2 linked regions of the Elephas maximus indicus genome follow. The protein of the gene in region 2 purifies or fractionates together with the protein of the main gene of each other region. This does not show direct contact. Links are inferred from orthologs where the notes say so. Each region holds a gene or a part of one and is shown on either strand. Other genes may lie near its edges. The genes, in order: IFT25 and IFT88.

Evidence for each region.
Region 1: the proteins of IFT88 (region 2) and IFT25 purify together in Homo sapiens (affinity purification with mass spectrometry; 3 studies listed by BioGRID and IntAct, with this or other methods). This does not show direct contact. The link is inferred for Elephas maximus indicus from reciprocal best matches to the Homo sapiens genes IFT88 and IFT25.

What each region holds. Positions count from the first base shown.
Region 1 is NC_064821.1:97,420,439-97,431,795, reverse strand, and holds the start of IFT25 (intraflagellar transport protein 25 homolog), read left to right. Parts: upstream 1-6,906; 5' UTR 6,907-7,233; intron 7,234-11,357. Other genes in the region: LDLRAD1 (low-density lipoprotein receptor class A domain-containing protein 1), read left to right, coding at 1-219. UniProt on the Homo sapiens protein: Component of the IFT complex B required for sonic hedgehog/SHH signaling.
Region 2 is NC_064841.1:50,806,510-50,817,026, reverse strand, and holds the start of IFT88 (intraflagellar transport protein 88 homolog), read right to left. Parts: upstream 5,296-10,517; 5' UTR 5,125-5,295; intron 1-5,124. UniProt on the Homo sapiens protein: Positively regulates primary cilium biogenesis. Also involved in autophagy since it is required for trafficking of ATG16L and the expansion of the autophagic compartment.

The sequences.
Region 1 (11,357 bases), on a different chromosome or scaffold from region 2:
GGGAAGGGAACAAGGAAGGGAGATGCGGCTCTCTGGTCTGTTTGTTGTACACCATGTGTGCACAGGGAAAGAACACTTCTCTCTCCTCGACTTGACCTCTTCCCCCAGAAAACATTCTCCTTGTGCCCATCCCGACATGGATGGGAGGTGACCCCAAGTTTGGAAACTGCCAGGGTGGCCAGGATGAGCCACTTTCAGATAGCCCTGAGACAGCTGTAGCCAGATGTGGACTTCCTCCTGCCTCATCTGTCTCTGTAGGAGATGTGCCCCAGAGCCTCCCCAGTTTCCTTGTGGCCCACTGTGGAGACCCTGCCTTCTGGATTTACTCAGACCAGAAGTGTGATGGAATCAACAGTTGTGGGGACTGCTCAGATGAACTGAGCCAAGGTAGGGGTCTGGGCATAGGCTGGGCTGTGCAAAGTGGCCAAGCGGTGGCCAGAGGGCAGGGTCTGCCCAGGGAATCTACTCAGTTCCTCCCTGCATCCCTGGAAGAGCCTTCCACCCCTGGTTGAATGCCCCCAGTGGCGAGGCACTACCATTCAAAGTGCTTCCTTCTGGTGTTTTCTTCTTTGGTGGGACTTCCCTTCAAAGGCGTACCAGGAAACTGAGACCCAGAGAGTGGTCACGCAAGGAGTTTATGACCCAACTGGGATTTGAACCTGGATCTCCCTCATTTCTTCTGCACCTCCCAATACCCCTGTGAGGGAAGCAGGACAAGAGTCACTGTCCCCAATTCTTATGTAGGTAAACTGAGGCTCAGAGAAGAGGAGGGACTTAATACAATGAGTGACAGGAAAGGAGCTTAGGTGTAAACCCAAGTGTCCTGACTCCAAGTTCTTTCATGCCTCAGAGTTTTTTTTTTTTTTTTTTTAAATAAGCACATGTCTTAGTTATTTAACCCATTGCCATGGAGTTGATTCCGGCTCAACCACCCTATAGGACAGGGTCGAACTGCCCTTGAACTGTTGACTTTTTGGTTGGCAGCTGAGCTCTTCAGCCACCATGCCACCAGGGCTCTCTTGGTTATCTAGTGCTGCTATAGCAGAAATACCACAAGTGGATTTATCTCTCACAGTCTAGAAGTTGAATTCAGAGCGCCAGCTCCAGGGGAAGTCTTTCGCTCTCTGTTGGTTCTGGGGGAAGGTCCTTATCATCAATCTTCCCCTGGTCTAGGAGCTTCTCAGCACAGGGACCCCAGGTCCAAATGATAGACTCTGCTCCTGGCTCTGCTTTCTTGGCGTTAGGAGGTCCCTTTCCTCTCTGCTCGCTTCCCTCTTCTATATCTCAAAAGAGATTGACTCAAGACACAACCTAATCCTGTAGATTGAGTCCTGCCTCACTGACATCATAGAAGTTAGGATTTACAACACATAGAATAAGCACATCAGATAACAAAATGGTAGACAACCACACAATACTGGGAGTCATGGCTTAGCCAAGTTGACACACATTTTGTCCGGACACAATTCGATCCATAACAGCACACGTGAATATCTGAATCTCGATCATGTGCCTGGCACTTTGCCTGTCTTCTTTTATTTAGTAACAACCTTGAGCAGATGAGGAAACGGCGGCTCAGACAGGGTGAGCAACTTGTCCAAGGTTACATAGCCTGTGAGCTGGGGAGACCAGAATCTTTCTGCTGTAGGGAAATAAGGAACACAGTCAACCCCAACTCAGATGGGGTAGGGTTATAAGGCTCTGTGGTAGGGTCCAGAGCTAGGCAGTGCCCTGGTAAATAGGGCATTCCAGGATACAATGGCCAGCTCCTGTTTCCCCAGTGACCTTGTGCCCGTCCTGTGGTCCCGGGTGGTGGCGCTGCACTCCGACTGTCTTCAGGTATTGCGAATGCATCCCAAGGAGTCTCTGCCAGGACCACGTGCAGCACTGCTCCGACTGGTCTGACGAGTACTCCTGCCCTGGACTCTGAGCAGTCCCCCAGTCCAGAGTGGGAGACGGATGGATGGAATGACATTTAGAAGCCTTCACGTGTGCATCAAATCCTAGAACATGAGGGTAGGAAGGAGCCTTTGAGATCATGCAGTACGATCTGTGTACCTTCTCTGAATAGGAATTGCCTCTCCTGCTTTCAAGTTGTTCGGCCTCTAATTGAATACCTGCAGTGACAGGGAGCTCACTACCATGTTAGGTAGCTCCCAACAAAGATGAGGGCTTCCGTGATTTCCGTGCTTCTACACGGATGAAATCTGCTTTCACTGCTCCAGGAAAGGCTTGCAGGTCATGATTTTGTCACCCCTTGGAGAGCAGACAGGTCTGGGATTCAAATGCCAGCAGAAGTGTTTAGCCCTTGTCATGGATTGAATTGTGTCCCCCCCCAAAATATGTGTCAACTTGGTTAGGCCATGATTCCCAGTATTGTGTGGTTGTCCTCCATTTTGTGACTGTAATTTATGTTGAGAGGATTAGGGTGGGACTGTAACACCACCCTTACTCGGGTCACCTTCCTGAACCAGTATAAAGGGAGTTTCCTGGGGTGTGGCCTGCACCACCTTTTATCTCTCAAGATAAAAGGAAAGGGAAGCAAGCAGAGAGTTGGGGACCTCATATCACCAAGAAAGCAGCACCCGGGGCAGAGCGCATCCTTTGGACCTGGGGTCCCTGCATCTGAGAAGCAACTCGACCAGGGGAAGATTGATGACAAGGACTTTCCTCCAGAGCCAACAGAGAGAGGAAGCCTTCTCCTGGAGCTCACACCCTGAATCTGGACTTGTAACCTACTAGACTGTGAGAGAATAAATTTCTCTTTGTTAAAGCCATCCACTTGTGGTATTTCTGTTATAGCAGCACTAGGTAACTAAGACAGCCCTTTTGGATGGCACCTATGTGAAACGTGTGCCACTTTTTGCCCCTTTAGTACCTAAGGCAGACATTGCTAACCAATCATCCAGGTTGGGCTACAGCCTTAGCACTTTTTCTCAACTCGGTAATCCTAGCAGGCCCTACTTATAGATCATGTGAGATGAATCATGAGACAGGGTAATTGTCACCTGGCCAGTGGGAAGCTATCCCAGGAGGTTCTGAGCTCCTCAGTGCCCCTCTGTCGTCCTTCCCATTCTCCATCCTCCCATCCCCCATCTCCCACCCCCGCTCCTGCCCATCACCAGCTGCCCAGATAAACAAGCCAGGTTTCTGGAAGCAGGATTGTATTTTGGTCCTGGAGCCTGAGTGCACACCTTTCCAGCTTCACAACATTTGGTCTTGGAGTTTCTCAGCACACCTTTCCAGCTTCACAACATTCAGGCAGGCAAGGAGATGGATATCTCCATTGAAAAAAAAATGAACCATGAGAAAACTGAGATGCGGGAGGGGCGGTGACTTGGTCAGGATCACAAGCAAAATCCTTGCTGGAACTGGGACTGAACTATGGAGCCCGAGCCCAGAGCCTCTCCTGCTACCAGAGTGATGACACCTTGGCCAGGGATGGAGTCCATGTGAGATATTAAAAAAAAGGTTCACTTGAAAGTCAGATTGTGGCCCACCCTTATTCTGGAAGAGAGTTGGAATCTGCCAGTGAGAAGGTCGCTGTTGAGGGAGACAGATATACAGGTCCCCCCCGCCCCTGCCACTCCACACACATAATCTGAAATGAAGGAGCCCTGGTAGTGCAATGGTTTAAAACTCAGATGCTAACCAAAAGGTTGGAGGTTTGAACCCACCCAGCCACTACATGGGAGAAAGACCTGGAGATCTGCTCCTATAAAGATTACAGCCTAGGAAAATCTGTGGGGCAGTTCTACTCTGTCACCTGGGGTCACTATGAGTCGAAATCTACTCGGTGGCACACAGCAACAACATCCAAAATTAATAAAATCGGTTACATGTATCAGTCCCTGTGAGCTCTGAACTGCAAATGGGTGTCCGAGAGACTGATGAGCTCTGGCTCATTCACTGCCTCAGTCATTCATTCACTCATCCAGCAGTCTCAGAACCTGCTCTGGGCCAAGTTGTGTGTAAGGTTCTGGGCACCCAGAAGCTTGGGGCCTTGGGGGAGACACCCTCACACCGTGGTGAGACCGGTTGGACAGCAGGAAATGCAGGGCCAAGGGCACCAAGGAGGAGCCTCCAGGAGCCAGGACACAATCACCTTTCTCACCCTGCTGCTCCCTGGGGTGTCCTTGGCTCTGGCCTCTTTTACTGAACTTCTCTTGAACTGTAGCACAAGCAAGAAGCTGCAGGAGCCCTCGGGGCCTCTGTAGTTCTAACGACAGGACTAGAGGAGGCTTCCTTCCCAGAAACAGAGGCATTTGAGTTGGGTTCAAGAGGGCTAGGAGAATTTCCAGAGGTAGAGGCAGGGGAGAAGCACATTCCAAGCTGAGGCCATGCAAACAAATGCACGGAGGTGTGACAGTACTGAACGGCACAGCCAGGGAATGGCCAGCAGCCCAGAGTGGCCAAAGCATGAGGTGGAGGGAAGGGGCCAGAGAGGTGAGCAGGGGCTGGATCTTGAAGGGCATAATGTACCACACTTTATCCTATAAAGGCAGTGGGTATCATCAAGGGGTAATAAACTAGAACTGTCTGGGGCTTCAGTGACAATTTTAATTGCAACAGTCGGAGAAAGAAATGTCAAGGTCTCAGATGAGGTGGGCAGAGAAGAGGGGTGGTTAGGGCTATTTACAGGTAGAAGCCATGGGTCTCAGGGCCTACTGGGGGCAAGGTATGGAGTCTGAGGATGACTAAGGAGTCCAGGATGCCTGGGAAGGGGCTCCTGGACCCCTGTCCTGGCCGATGCTCTCTCCAGTGGGATGCCAGTCTCAAGGGGAAGAGAGGGTCAAATTGGTCCCCGAGGAACAAGAAAAGTTCCAGAGGCTCACTCCAGTACTCTAATGCCAATGGGTTCCTGAATCAAGGAAGCCCTGAGCACTGGTTATAGAGAGAGCGTTGCTGTGGAGAGGCCATGCAAGCTGGGCCAGATGATGAACTTGAGCCTATGTTTGCTCAAACTAAGTCAGCCTGTGGTTCAGGTGTCCAGAAAGCACCCAGTTCTCAGCAGGAGCTGGTGGTGATGTGGTTGGGCCCAGTGGGAGAGAAGTAGTTGGGTCCTCAGTGGTCACCCAGTCCTGGGTTTCTTCTGTGTCCTGCAGCTCTTCTCAGAAAACCCCCCAGAGGCACCAGCACCTCCCCCTCAAAACCAATCCCATCCATGGTCCTCTGGGGGTTAAAAAGTTTCATTTCACAGGATGGAGAAACTGAGGCTAAGACAAACTTGTCTGGGTCAGTAGCAGGGCAAGGACTAAAAGCCGGGTATTTAGGTGCACACAGAGCTCTGATAGTACAGTGGTTAAGAGCTACAGCTGCTACCAAAAGGTTGGCAGTTCAAATCCACCAGCTGCTCCTTGGAAACCCTATGGAGCAGTTCTACTCTGTCCTCTAGGGTCACTAAAAGTTGGAATCGAGTCGACTGCAACAAGTTTTGGTAGGTGCACAGAGTTAGCATTTATTGAACCCTTACTATGTACCAGGCACCAGTAAATAGTAATCTCACAACCGTTTAGTCTTCACAACTGTCTTTATGCTGAGGTTTAGAAGCAGCTTGTTGAAGGGCACATGTCTGCTGTACCAAACTCTGAAGTCTGGACACAGCCACGATAGTTTGCTGTATTCTGTTATGTCTCAGGAGGTCTGGAAGGCTTCATAGTGGAGATGATGCCTGAGCAGGGCCTTGGAGGAGGATTAGGAATAGCCAAGAGGGAAGCAGGGCGAGGGCATTCCAGGCTGAAGAGATGCCCAGGTTCAGCACTGGGTGGGCGCCTGGCAACTGAGGGAGCACAAGGTAGTCCAGCATGATTAGGGGTACGGGGAGAAGCCTTGGGTCTGAGCTGCAGAGAGTGAGCTTGATTTTAGAGGCCCTGTGGTGGTGGCAGAGGTTTTCCGCAGGAGGTACACGTTTGATTCCTCCTTCAGGGGAGGGGCTGTCCTCATCTGAACATCAGGAATAAGGATACATCACCAGACTGCAGTCTCACTGAGCGGAAAAAGTGGGATCCTGAACATGAACGCCATTTGGAAACAGTACAGCTTCACGCACCGGAAAGAGGAGCGGCAAGCACTCTACTGCTGTTAGTTGCCATTGAGTCGATTCCGATGAGTGGTGACCCCACGTGTGCAGGGTAGAGCTGCCCTGTAGGGTTTTCAAGGCTGTGACCTTTCAGAAGCAGATTGCCAGGCCTGCCTTCCAGAGCGCCTCTGGGTAGGTTCCAACAGCCAACCTTTCCGTTAGTAGTTAAGCGCTTAATTGTTTGTGCCACCCGTGGACTCCAAGCACTATTCTAGGGGCTTTAATTAATATTAACAGCCAGAATTTGTTGAGCTGAGCAGTTAGTACTTGGCAGGCACTATTCCAAACCTCTGTATGTCTCATCTCTGGTATCTCATTTTCTCTAATCCTCACGAGCCCTCCAGGAACCTGGTTTGGTTATCTGCACTTTACAAAAGAGGAAACCGAGGCATAGAGAGGTGAAGAGCTTGCTTAAGATCACATAGCTTTTAAGAGCAGAGCCAGAATTTAAATCTTGATAGGCCCAAAGCCAGAGGCGGCCATACCCCCTCCTTGGTGTCTTTTTGGCCAGGTCTCCCTAGGCCAGGCCAGGGGGCAGCAGCCTGTAAACAGAAGGTAGCTGGCGTTGGCAGGAGAACTGTTCTTTTCTTGTTTGTCCGTTTTTCCTTTCAAATAGGAGCAGTTGCCGTAGCAACCTCCCAAACAGCGCTTTGTAAACCAGCACCAGAAAGACACAAGGCCCAAGGTAGCCAGGCAGGGCCCTCCCCCAGCTCACTTCAACAGTGCGGGGGATTTAATGCCACAGCCTGGAGCAAGAGCCCAGGCAGTCAGCGTCAATATTTGCCATCTCCCAGCCTCCTGGCCCCAGCTCCAAGATCAGTACTTTAAGTACAACAAGTTCTTTGCTGTGCAAACACGAAGGGATAGATGAATGGAATTTAAAGTGGCTCAGGCTTTGCCCCAGGGTCTGGGCTGGAAATCTGGTCTGGTTTAACCCTCTACCATCGCTGTTTGCCTGGGACTCTTTCTTCATCCTTAGACTTACAGAACCACAGACATCAGAGCTGGCAAGGATCTCAGAGAGCAGCCAGGTTTTTAACAAAGGAGGACACTGCTTCCCAGGGATGGAAGGGATCAGCCCAAAGCTGCACTGCCTGGTGGGCTGTCGCTGGGATTTTGATACTCCTGGGGCCAACTGAGCAACTCCAGGTCAGGTAGAAGTGGTTTTTTTTTTTTTTTTTTTTTTTAACACTTATTGAGAGATAATTTACATACGATGAAATGCACAGATTTAAGTGTATGGTACAATGAGTTTTTTAGAAAAAGCTTTATTAAGTTATAATTGACATCCAATAAGCTATACTAGATCGGCAGTTCGAATCTACCAGCCACTCCTTGGAAACCCTATGGGGCAGTTCTACTCTGTCCTATAGGGTTGTTATGAGTTGGAATTGACTCGATGGCAACTGGAATGGGAAATACATGTTCAAAGTATACAGTTTAATAAGTTTTGACTATCTCCACAGTGAAGATATGGACAAATCCATCACCCCCAAAACTTGTCTCATGCTCTTTGCAGTAACTCTCTCCCCGCTATCCGCTCCATTCTCAGGCAACTGATTTATCTTCTGTCATTTTTCTGGAATTTTATATAAATGGAATTATATCGTATGTACTTTTTTTTGTCTGGTTTGTTTCACTCATAATAACTATTTTGAGATGTATGCATATGCTAGTGTGTACAATAGTTCATTCCTTTTTATTGCTGAGGAACGTTCCATTGTATAAATATATCACAGTTGGGTTATCCATTGATTTGTTGATGGTTGGGTTCTTTCCAGCTTGGGCTGAAAAACGAAGTTGCCATGAAAATTTGTGTGTGAGTCTTTACGTGGACATACACTTTCATTTATGTTCTATGAATGTCTAGGAGTGGAATGCCTGGATGTGGTAGGCATGTGTTTAACTTCCTGAAACTGCCTTTTTCCAAAGTGGCTGTGTTATTTATGCTCACACCCTCAGGGCAGGAGAGTTGCAGTTGCTCTATATCCTCTCCAGTACTTGGTATGGTTAGTCTTTTTAATTTAAGCCTTTTTTAGCCTAGTAGTAAAGGAGCTCTAGTGGTGCCAATGGTTAAGCACTCAGCCGCTAACTGAAAGGTTAACATTTCGAACCCACGCAGAGGCTCTGTGGCAGTCACTCTGAGTAGGAATCTGCTTGTCGGCACCTACTAACCAGTGTAGTAGTATCTCATCGTGTTTTACTTTGCATTTCCCTAATAACTAAGGATGCTGAGCATCTTTTCATGTGCTTATTTGACATCAGTGTATCTTCCTTGGTGAAACTCTATGCAAATCTTCTTTCTTTATTTTAAATTGGATTGCTTGTTTCTCAATATTGCATTTTGACAGTGCTTTATATACTCTTTTTTTTATATATATACTCATATGAGATTTATAATTTGAAAATAATTTCTCCCAATCTGTGGCTTGTCTTTTCATTCTTTTAAAAGTGTCTTTCAAAGAGCAGACTTTTTTTTTTTTTTATGCAGTCCAATTGATCAATTTTTTCTTTTATGGATCATGCTTTTGGTGTTTTATCTATGAAATCATTGCCTAGCCTAAGTTCATGATAATTTTATTCTATGTTTTCTTCTAGGTTTATAATTTTAGGTTTTATATTTAGGTCTCATAGTAAGCTAGACACTGCCTTCTCTGCCTGTGAGACCCTCACTCATCTCATGGGCCTGTGTCTGTGACCTGAACCCACAAAGGGAGCCCTTGCCAGCCCCATCTCTGGGTGATGCAAACAGTTAAGTGCTCAACTATTAGTCATAGGGTTGGCAGATCAAACCCACCCAGAGGCACCTCGGGTGACAGGCCTGGCAATCTGCTTCTGAAAAGAAAACTCTATGGAGCAGTTCTATTCTGCACGCATGGTGTCGTCATGAGTTGAAATCAACTCGACAGCAACTAACAACAACATACATGAACGAACGATTTTTTTCAAAGGTGTAAAGGCAATTCAGTAGAGAAAGAATTATCTTTTCAACAGTTGGTGCTGGAACAATTGGACTCCATAAATAAAAAAATTAATTTTGATCCATTTCTCATTTAAAAAAAAAAACAACCCATTGCCATCGAGTCGATTCCGACTCATAGCGACCCTACAGGACAGAGTAGAACTGCCTCATAAGAGTTTCCAAGGAGTGTCTAGTGGATTCGAACTGCCAACCTTTTGGTTAACAGCCATAGCACTTAACCACTACGCCACCAGGGTTTACTCCATTTCTCATACCATATACAAAAATTAACTTAAAATGGAGCATAGACCTAAATGTTGTTGTTATTATCTGCTGCGTAGTCGATTCCAACTCCTTGCGACCCTATGTGTGCAGAGTAGAACTGCTTCATAGGGTTTTCAAGGTGGTGACCTTTTGGAAGCAGATCACCAGGCCTGTCTTCCGAGGAGCCTCTGGGTGAGTTTGAACCGCTAACCTTTTGGCTAGTAGTTGAGTGCTTAACTGTTTGCATCATCCAGGGGCTCCTTGTCCATATATGTGTGAATCTATTTGAGGACTCTCTGGTCTGTTCCATTTACTATTTGTCAATCTTGATGCCGATACCACACTGTCTTGGCCACTGTAGCTTTAGAATAAATCTTGAAATCAGGTGTCGTTAGTCCTCCTACTTTGTTCATGTTCCAAGTTGTTTTGCTATTCTAGGTCCTTTGCATTCCCATGTGAATTTTAGAATCAGCTTGCCAATTTCTGTTTCGAAAAGTCACCAGGGAGAATGATGATGCAATATGAAAAATGTAACCTATGTCAATGAATTGTACATGTAGAAATTGCTGAATAGGTGCGTTTTGCTGTATATATTTTCACCAAATATAAAATAAATATTTTTGAAACAAACAAAAATGTCTCCTAGGATTTTGACTGGGATTGCATTGAAACTATAGATCTGGTTGGAAAGAATTGACATCTTAACAACGTTCAGTCTTCTGACCCATGATCACGTTCTCTCTCTCTCTTTACTAGGTTTCACTGTACAGATCTTGCACATCTTTTGTCAGATTTATTCCTAAGCATTTTATCTTTTTTGACAAATGAGGTTGTTTTGCAATTTTAATTCCCAATTGTTTGTTGCTAAAATACAGAAATAAAATTTGCATATATTGATCATGCATCCTACAACTTTATTAAACTCATTATTTCCAGTAGGTCTTTTGTATAATCCATCAGATTTTCTACATGGATAATCCAGTCATCTGTGAATAAATTTAGTTCTAGTTTTTTTGGTCTGGATGCCTTATTTCTTTTTCCTCTCTTATTGTACTGGCCGTGCAAAATGTTGAATAGGAATGGTGAGAACAGACATCCTTGTCTTTATCCTGATCTTAAGGAGAAAGCATTCAGTCTATTACTACTAAGTATGATGCTAGCTGTAGCTTTTATGTTGATGACTTTGATCAGGTTGAGAAAGTTTCCTTCTATTCTAGTATGCTGAAAGTTTGTATCAGGAATGATGTCGAATTTTTTCTGTGTCTATTGTGATGATCATGTTTCATTTTGTTTGCTAATATGGTGAATTCCATTAACTTATTTTGAAATTTTTAACCAATCTTGCATCCCTGGGATAAACCTCACTTGCCCATCCTTTATATATACATATATGTATACAGATATTCAATTTACTAAAATTTTATTAAGAATTTTTGCATCTATATTCATGAGGGATATTGGTCTCTGTTTTTCTTGTCAGGCTTTGGTATCAGGGTAATGCTGGCTTCATAGAATGGGTTGGGAAGTATTCCCACCTTTCTGGTTTTCTGGAATATTTTGTAATAGAACTGGTATTATTTCTTCCTTAAATGATTGGTAGAATTCCCTAGTGAAGCCATCTGGCCTTGAGATTTTCTTTTCGGGAAGATTTTTAACTAAAAATTCAATTTCTTTAATAAATATAGGACTATTCAGATTATCTGTTTGTTCTTGAGTGAGTTTTCGTAGTTTGTCTTTCATGGGATTTGTCCATTTCTTCAAAGTTACTGAATTTATTGCTATAAAGTTATTTGTAATCTTACCTTATTATCTTTTTAACACTTGTAGAATCTGTAATGACATCTCCACTCTCATTCCTGATATTAGTAATTTGTGTCTTCATTCTCTTTTTCCTTATCAGTTTGGCTAAAGATTTATCAAATTTATTGACCTTCACAAAGAATCACCTGTTGGTTTCACTGATTTTCCATATTTTTTTTCTGTTTTCCATTAATATTCATTCTGATATTTATCATTTCCTTTCTTCTGCTTACTCTGGGTTTCATTTGCTCC
Region 2 (10,517 bases):
TGCATCTGAATTGTGGTGTTGACAAAGAGTAATGAGTGAACAAATCTGTCTCGGAAAAAAGACAGCCACAATGTTCCTCAGAAGCAAGGACTTAGTCTTGCTGCTTCTGGACATATCATCAGAAAAGACCAATCACTAGAAAAGGGCATCTGTTTGATAGAGTAAAGGGTCAGTGAAAATGAGGAAAACCCTTCATACGACGGATTGGAATGGTGGCTGCAACAACAGGCTCAAACATACCAAAGACTGTAAGGATGGTGCAGGACTGGGCAATGTTTCATCCTGTTATACATAAGGTCACCATGAGTCAGAGTGGACTTGGTGGCAAGTAATGACAACAACAGGGAATCGGGAAAGGCTTCACAGAAAAAGTAGCATTCAAATCAAGTCAACATGTTAGGCAAGTTTTTGGAAAGGGATACTTACCCCCAAAATTTAGATCTTCTATTGAACTATTTCACCTGTTTTAAAATAGTTTCTTTGGAGTTTATACAATTTTAAGTGTTCCAGTAATTTCAGCCTAATCTTATTGCTCAGAATAATACCAAATTATATGGTTTCTTATAACTTTTTATTATTAATTTCTTTATTGAGATATAATTCACATACCATAAAGTTCACCTTTATAAACTGTGCAATTCAATGCTTTTTAGTATATCCAGTGTTGTGCAACCATCACCATCATTAATTTTAGAACGTTGTCATCACCCCAAAAAGAAACCACATTCCCTTAACAGCCACTTCTCATTTCCTCCTAACCCCCACAGCCCTAGGCAACCACCGATCTACTTTCTGCCTTTATGGATTTGCCTATTGTGGACTCTATACAATGAAATCATACACTGTGTGGCCTTCTGTGTCTGGCTTCTTTCATCCAGCATAATGTTTTCAAGGTTCATCCATGTTGTAGCATATGAGTACTTCATTTCTTTCTTTTTAACAGCTTTATTGAGATATAATTCACATGTTATTCACCCATTTAAAGTGAACAATGAAATGAGTTTTAGTATACTCACAGATGTGCAACTATCACTACAATCAATTATAGAATATTTTTATCATATAATTCATTTCTCCATACTCTTTAGCTATCACTCCCTATCCTCCACATCCACCCTCAGCCCTAGGTAACCAGTAATCTACTTTATATCTCTATAAATTTGCATATTCTGCACATCTCATATAAACGGAAGCACATAATACATGGTCTTTAATGGCTGGCCGTTTTCACTCAGCATGTTTTCAAGATTCATTAACATTGTAGCATGTATCAGTACTTTATCCCTTTTATGGAAATAATATTACATTTTAAACCTATGCCACATTTTGTTTATCCATTCATCCATCTACTGATGGACATCTGGATTGTTTCTATTTTTTGGCTATTATGAATAACGCTCCTGTGAACATTTGTGTACAAGTTTTTACGTGGACATATTTTTGTTTCTCTTGGACATAAACCTAGGAGTGGAACAGCTAGGTCAAATGGGAACACTACGCTTAAATTTATGAGAAACTGCCATACTGTCTTCCAAAACGGCTGTAAAATTTTACATTCCCACTAGCAGTGTATAGGGGTTCTAATTTCTCCACATCCTTGTCAACACTTGTTATTATCTGACTTTGATTACAGCCACCCTAGTGTGTTTAAAGTGGTATCCTACTGTGGTGTTAATCTGCATTTGCCTTCATGACTCACAATATTGAGCATCTTTTCATATGCTTATCGAGTATCGATGGATCTCTGGAGAAATGTTTATTGAGAGCCTTTGCTCGTTTTTTAGCTGGGTCTTATGTCCTTTTATTGTTGAGCAGTAGAATTCTTTATACATTCTGAATACCAGACCTTTATCAGATACATGATTTACAAATATTTTCCGTTATGAAGGCAGTCCTTTCACTTTGATAGTGTCCTTTGAAGTACAAAAGTTTTAAAATTTACGATGTCCAATTTATCCATTTTTTCTTTGGTTACTTGAGCTTTTGGTGTTGTATCTAAGAAATCATGGCCTAATCCAAAGAAGATTTACACTTGGGTTTTCTTCTAAGAGTTTTATAGTTTTAGATCTTACATTTAGGTCTTTAATCCATTTTGAGTTAATTTCTCAATAATTTCTGAAGATGAAAATTCACTACTATAAAATCAACTGTCAAAAGACAATTCATCCCACAATACCTTCAAAATGGTATTAAAAGTAACTAGTGGAAGATAAAGTACTTTAACTCAAAAGCTTTAGGTCAGATAATGCCAACCAGCTGTTCTCAAACTTTAGTGTGTATCAGATTCCTAAGGGCATGTTAAAATAGATTGCTGCCCCCCCTTTCTGACTGAGGAAATCTACTATGGGGGATATCACCACCCCTCCACCTCTTACAATGTGCATTTCTAAACAAGTTCCAAGGTGATGCTGATTCTGCTGGTTTGGAAGCCATGCTAAAAACCAGTCAGCCGTCCATACCTGCAGGTTCTGCATCCTTGGATTCAACCAACCACGGATTGAAAATATCCAAAAAAGAAAAAAACGGTAAAAACAAAGTTCCAAAAGACCAAAACTTGAATTTGCTGCATGCTGAACGCTATGCTAAATCCACAGGAATGGAGTAATGTGTAAGCATACTCTGCTGTAACCTCCCATCATTTCACAGATCCTCAGCCGTTGTTTGAGCATTGTCTGCCTTGCATCTCATTCATTCTCTACTTGTGTTGTGTGCACTCTTTGTTTCTGTGAAAAAATGGCTCCTAAAAAGCAATGAAATGGTCAAAGCAATCCCTCAAAGGCTAAATGTGAGGGGGTTGAGTGGGAGGAAGGAGTTTAAGGCTAGTAAGGCATGGCTGGCTACCTATGTAAAGTGCTACAGCCTCGAGAACTTAAAGATTACTGGAGAATTGGCATCAGTTGATGCCAAGGCATCATCAGTGTTCCCAAAAGAGCTGAATATACTCATAGAAGAGAAAGGCTTACTTCCAGGGCAAGTCTTCAATTGTGATGAACTATTTACAAAGCATTAGTATTAAGACAGAGGTCCCCAGGCTGTGGAAAGTTCCACTGCCTCAAGGAGCTTGCTTGGCATGCCCCATAGCTTTACATTAAATCCTGGTTCCCCTCTCCTTAACTACTGCCCAAAACTAGAGGTAATTGGGGGAAACCAGTTTAAGCACAATGTTGACATTCAGGATAACCTTTCAGCTCATTAAATACCTCATACATAGTAACTTCCTCACACCAGGTGGAATTTATCCACCATTTTCTCAACCCACAATGCATGAAGTTATATGTAAACCCCGCTCAGCTTACATAGTATCATTAAGAATGTTGTTGACATAACTTGTATGAACTTGCTACTTGTAAACCCCTTAAAAGTAACATTCTCCCTAGCCCTCGATAAGCAGTCTTGGCATCAGCACTGCCTACTATTCCCTTCCTTACACAATGAAATAAAGGTACCTTTCTACTCTCCCGCCCTGGTCTCGTTTATTGGCTGAGACAAGTCATGCTGAGCAGACCCTGGAGTTTCCACCTAGCAACAGCATTAGGTACTGTAAGTTATCTAGAGATGATCTGAAGTATATGGGAGGATGTGTGTAGGTTATACGCAAATGCCATGCCATTTTATATAAAACACCTGACCAACTGCAGGGGCCCTGGAACCAATCCCACGCAGATAAGGCTGAATGACTGTACTATGCTAAACAAAATCTTCCCGAATATAAGCCCTATTTAAGTCAGCTTAGCTTATACACAAAGTCATAAAAATGTGCAACTTTTATAACTAGAGAACCAACTGAAAAAAATTTAGACTTGGAAGAGTCTTTAGTTGAAGAGACATCTTATTGAACGTGCTTATTTTAAATTTGTGGAAACAAAGGCCATGAAAGGTGAAGTGAATTACCCATGGCTAACAGCTATGAGGGAAACCCTGGTGCCGTAGTGGTTAAGAGTTCGGCTGATAACCAAAAAGTCGGCAGTTCGTATCCACCAGGAGCTCCTTAGAAACCCTATGGGGCAGCTTTACTTTGTCCTATAGGGTTGCTATTGAGTCAGAATTGACTTCACAACAACGGGTTCACAGCTATGAGTGACAGAACAAATACTACAATTCAAGTGGTCCTGGATTGTCCAAGCTATTTCAAAAGCACTTTCAACACACAACAGGCTTTTATGTTAAGATAATCTGGAGATGATGCCACCTCATTGCTTGTAAAACCTTTTTTAAGTGTTGATTTCTTTTTTTATGACTACGATGGACAGTCTATTTCTAAGATGCCTAGTGTAGCCCACAACCAGAAAATTAGCTTTGTAAATGAAAAAATGGAATTCTAGGTCTGGGGAAAAAAGTGCTTCGAATCTTCGTAATATTTTATCTTTGCGAGATGTACACACTTTATGCGTTGTTAGGTAATTTTACATTTCACTCCTGACTAAACCTTTCACGAGCAAATTCAAAAGCTTTACAGTACAACACAAAAACTAAAGAGTCCTGTTCAACGCAAAATTCAAGTGGTGGTCAAATGGTTAGATTTTTTTGAATTTGTTAACTATGTGACTTGGAATAGTCATCTCGGCAGATTAAAACTGCCTGCCCCTGTTAAAAGAGTAATAAAAACTCGTGACCACTGGAAACAAACGTTTGGAAATCAACACTGGCGTTTCAGAGTTGACAAATGTAGGCACCTAAAGCAGAAATGTGACGGAACCACACATCCCACGGCTTGTCCCCCGTCTCCCCCGCCTCCCCCCCTCCGCCTCCGCATCCCCCCCCACCCCGCCCCGCCCCGAATGGGCGTCGGTGGTACCGGAGGGGCGGGCTGCGGGGGCGAGGGGCGGGCTGCGGGGGCGAGGGGCGGGCTGCGGGGGCGAGGGGCGGGCTGCGGGGGCGAGGGGCGGGCTGCGGGGGCGAGGGGCGGGCGGGGCCTCCAAAGCCTAGTGGGCCCGCGCAGCCAAGGAACTGCACCACAAGGCGGAGCCGCCGGAAAATCCGGGGGGAGCGGGGTCGGCGTTCCAGACTCAATCTGCCAAAAGGGCGCGAGCCAGAATCGGCCTTCTACTCGGGTCGGAGCATCTTCGCCCGCGCCGGCGAAGGGACGCTCGGAAGTACTCTCTGCCCACCCAGCCTTTTTCCTACCTCACGTTGAGGGGAATGGGGGTGACCACGCGTAAAGCCCAAGGAAGACGCGGCCTTTGTGCGAATCTACTACGCCTCCGTCTTCTCAGGCCAGACCGCTGCGCCCGGAGCCGTTACCAAGAGCGGGATCCAGGGAAGCCGTTCCCACACTCCTCCGCGCGGAGGGGCGGTGCCGGGCGCGCCCCGCGGGGGTGGGGGCAGGACAGGCGGTCTCGAGGGGGCGGGGCGTGGGACGGCGAGCTGCTCGGGGGAGCGGTGCAGGGCTGGTGACCCTGGAGGGCGGTGGACGGCCCTCTAGGGGGCGAGGGGCTCGGGGGGTGGAAAGGGAAAAGAAGGGAGCGGGCCGCCTGTGTGTGGAGAGGCGGAGCGAAGGAAACCAAGCTCTCATAAATCCTGATGACACCAGCCAGAAAGCAGATTACCAAAGGATGACACTTGGGTGTCTGTAAAATATCTCCTGTAGCCACCACACTAATTTTGGGAGCCTAGGAAACTCTGTAATCACTGTCACCGTACAAGATTATTCTCAGATGATACCTGTCTGAGAAGTCTCGCCTCTTCTTCTTCTCTCCTGTGGGCAATGTGATCCCATACCACCTGTGCACACTTTCATTCTTGCTCTTAATGTATGCTTTATGCTCTCCGCACTGGACAGGGCCTTAAGATCCTGTGACCCTAGTACCTTGCAAGTGTTTTCTTCTATTCAGTTGAGTGATTCAGAGTTTGACATACGTAACTAATGTTGTAATGATGCACTAAGCAATCTATAATCATTTTTTATTGCGCCAGTTGCACTGGTCTCTTCCAAAGGGATGCAAAACCCTGCTGGCTCCCATAGCCTTCGTCTCTCTTCTTCTTTGTTCTCTTGAGAAACGGCCTTCACCCTGCAAGATGAGAGCTGGGAAGGCTGCCAGGCACTTTTTTTTTTTTTCTAATTTTTATTGTGCTTTAAGTGAAAGTTTACAAATCAACTCAGTCTTTCACACAAAAACCCATATATACCTTGCTACATACTCCCAATGACTCTCTACCTAATGAGACAGCCTGCTCTCTCCTTTCACTGTCTCTTTTTCGTGTCCATTTCGCCAGCTTCTAACCCCCTCCACCCTATCATCTCCCCTCCAGGCAGGAGATGCCAACATAGTCTCAAGTGTCCACCTGATCCAAGAAGCTCACTCCTCACCAGCATCCCTCTCCTATCCATTGTCCAGTCCAATCCATGTCTGCAGAGATGGCTTCAGGAATGGCTCCTGTCCTGGGCCAACAGAAGGTCTGGGGAACATGACTACCGGGGTCCTTCTAGTCTCAGTCAGACCATTAAGTCTGGTCGTTTTATGAGAATTTGTGGTCTGCATCCCACTGCTCTCCTGCTCCCTCAGGGGTTCTCTATTGTGTTCCCTGTCAGGGCAGTCATTGGTTGTAGCTGGGCACCACTAGTTCTTCTGGTGTCAGGATGATGTAGTCACTGGTTCATGTGGCCCTTTCTGTCTCTTGGGCACATAATCGCCTTGTGTCCTTGGTGTTCTTCATTCTCCTTTGATCCAGCTGGGTTGAGACCTATTGATGCATCTTAGATGGCTGCTTCCTAGCGTTTAAAACCGGACACCACTCTTCAAAGTGGGATGCAGAATGTTTTAATAGATTTTATTAGGCCAGTTGACTTAGATGTCCCCTGAAACCATGGTCACCAGACCCCTGCCCCTTCTACGCTGGCTTTCGAAGCATTCAGTTTATTCAGGAAACTTCTTTGCTTTTGGTTTAGTCCAATTGTGCTGACCTCCCCTGTATTGCGTGCTGTCTGTCCCTTCTTCTAAAGTAGTTCTTATCTACTAATTAGCGAATGCCCCTCTCTCCTTCCCCCTCCCCCCTCTCGTAACCACAAAAGAATGTTTTCTTCTCAGTTAAAACTATTTCTCAAGTTCTTATAGTAGTGGCCTTATCCAAATTTGTCCTTTTGCAACCAACTGATTTCACTCAGCATAATCCCTTCCAGGTTCCTCCATGGTATGAAATGTTTCACAGATTCCTCACTCTTCTTTATCGATGTGTAGTATTCCATTGTGTGAATATACCATAATTTATTTATCCATTCATCCATTGATAGGCACCTTGGTTGCTTCCATCTTTTTCCTATTGTAAACAGTGCTGCAATAAACATGGGTGTGCATATATCCGTTCGTGTAAAGGCTCTTATTTCTCTAAGATATATTACAAGGACTGGGATTGCTGGATTGTATGGTAGTTCTATTTCTGGCTTTTTAAGGAAGCGCCAAATCGATTTCCAAAGTGGTTGTACCATTTGACATTCCCACCAGCGGTGTAGAAGTGTTCCAATCTCTCCACATCCTCTCCAACATTTATTATTTTGTGTTTTTTGGATTAATGCCAGCCTTGTTGGAGTGAGATAAAATCTCGTTATAGTTTTGATCTGCATTCCTCTAATGGCTAATGATCGTGAACATTTCCTCATATATCTGTTAACTACCTGAATATCTTCTTTAGTGAAGTGTCTATTCATATCTTTTGCCCATTTTTTAATCAGGTTATGTGTCTCTTTGCAGTTGAGTTTTTGCAGTATCAAGTAGATTTTAGAGATCAGGCGCTGATCAGAAATGTCATAGCTAAAAATTTTTCCCAGTCTGTAGGTAGTCTTTTTACTCTTTTGGTGAAGTCTTTGGATGAGCATAGGTGTTTGATTTTTAGGAGCTCCCAGTTATCTAGTTTTTCTTCTACATTCTTTATACTGTTTTGTAGACCGTTTAGGCCATGTATTAGGGCTCTTAATGCTGTCCCTATTTTTTCTTCCATGATCTTTATCGTTTTAGATTTTATATTTAGGTCTTTGATCCCTTTTGAGCTCATCTTTGTGCATGAAGTGAGGTATGGGTCTTGTTTCATTTTTTTGCAGATGGATATCCAGTTATCCTGGCACTATTCGTTAAAAAAGACTGTCTTTTCCCCGTTTAACTGTTTTGAAGCCTTGGGCAAATATTAACTGCTCATATGTGGATGGATTTATGTCTGGGTTCTCAATTCTGTTCCATTGGTCTATGTATCTGTTGTTGTACCAGTACCAGGCTGTTTTGACTACTGTGGTGGTACAATAGGTTCTAAAATCAGGTAGAGTAAGGCCTCCCACTTTGTTCTTCTTTTTCAGTAATGCCTTATTCATCCGGGGCCTCTTTCCCTTCCATATGAAGCTGGTGATTTGTTTCTCCATCTCATTAAAGAATGTGGTTGGGATTTGGATCAGAATTGCATTAAATGTATAGATTGCTTTTGGTAGAATAGATATTTTTACAATGTTAAGTCTTCCTATCCACAAGCAAGGTATGTTCTTCCACTTATGTAAGTCTCTTTTGGTTTCTTGCGGAAGTGTACTGTAGTTTTCTTTGTAAAAGTCTTTTACATCTCCGGTAAGATTTATTCCTAAGTATTTTATCTTCTTGGGGGTTACCTTAAATGGCATTGATTTGGTGATTTCCTCTTTGATGTTCTTTTTGTTGGTGTAGAGGAATCCAACTGATTTTTGTATGTTTATCTTGTATCCTGATACTCCACTGAACTCTTCTATTGGTTTTAGTAGTTTTCTGGAGGATTCCTTAGGGTTTTCTGTGTATAAGATCATGTCATCTACAAATAGAGATACTTTTACGTCTTCCTTGCCAATCTGGATGCTCTTTATTTCTTTTTCTAGCCTAATTGCTCTAGCTAGGACTTCCAGCACATTGTTGAATAAGAGTGGTAATAAAGGGTATCCTTGTCTGGTTCCTGATCTCAGTGGGAATGTTTTCAGGCTCTCTCCATTTAGGGTGATGTTGGCTGTTGGCTTTGTATAATTGCCCTTTATTATGTTGAGGAATTTTCCTTCTATTCCTATTTTGCTGATAGTTTTTACCATGAATGAGCGTTGAATTTTGTGAAATGCCTTTTCTGCATCATTTGATAAAATCATGTGATTTTTGTCTTTTGTTTTACTTATGTGGTGGATTACATTCATTGTTTTTGTAATGTTGAACCATCCTTGCATACCTGGTATGAATCCCACTTGGTCATGGTGAATTATTTTTTTGATATGTTGTTGAATTCTACTGGCTAGATTTTTGTCGAGGATTTTTGCATCTACGTTCATGAGGGATATAGGTGTATAATTTTCTTTTCTTGTGGTGTCTTTACCTACTTTTGGTATCAGGGATATGGTGGCTTCATAGAATGAGTTTCGGAGTATTCCATCCTTTTCTATGCTCTGAAATACCTTTAGTAGTAGTGCTGTTAACTCTTCTCTGAAAGATTGGTAGAACTCTGCAGAGAAGCCGTCTGGAACAGAGCTTTTTTGGGGGGAGTTTTTTGATTACCTTTTCAATTCCTTATTTCGTTACGGGTCTATTTAGTTGTTCTACCTCTGTTTCTGTTAGTTTAGGTAGTGTGTTCCTAGGAATTCATCCATTTCCTCTAGGTTTTCAAATTTGTCTGAGTCTAGTTTTTCATAGTAACCTTATATGATTCTTTTAATTTCAGTTGGGTCTGTTGTAATATCGCCCATCTTATTTCGTATTCGGGTTATTTGCTTCCTCTCCTGTTTTTCTTTTGTCAGTTTGTCCAGTGGTTTATCAATTTTGTTGATTTTTTTCAAAAAAACAACTTTTGGTCTTGTTAATTCTTTCCATTGTTTTTCTGTTTTCTATTTCATTTAGTTCAGCTCTAATTTTTATTATTTGTTTTCTTCTGGTGCCTGTGGGTTTCTTTTGTTGCTCTCTTTCTATTTGTTCAAGTTGTAGGGATAATTCTTTGATTTTGGCCCCTTTTTCTTTTTTGATGTGTGCATTTATTGAAATAAATTGGCATCTGAGCATCACTTTTACTGTGTCCCAAAGGTTCTGATAGGAAGTATTTTCATTCTCATTGGATTCTCTGAATTTCTTTATCCATCCTTAATGTCTTCTATAATCCAGTCTTTTGTGAGCAGGATATTGTTCAGTTTCCAAGTATTTGATTTCTTTTCCCTGCTTTTTCTGTTATTGATTCCCAATTTTATGGCCTTATGGTCAGAGAAGATGCTTTGTAATATTTCAGTGTTTTGGATTCTGCTAAGGCTAGCTTTATGACCTAATATGTGGTCTATTCTAGAGAATGTTCCACGTGCACTAGAAAAGAAAGTATACTTGGTTGCTGTTGGGTGGAGTGTTCTGTATATGTCTACGAGGTCAAGTTGGTTGATTGTGGCATTTAGATCTATTGAGCTTCTTTCTGGATGTCCTGTCCTTCACCGAAAGTGGGGCGTTGAAGTCTCCTACTATTATTGTGGAGCTGTCTGTCTCACTTTTCAATGCTGATAGAGTTTGTATTATGTATCTTGCAGCCCTGTCACTGGGTGCATAAATATTTAATATGGT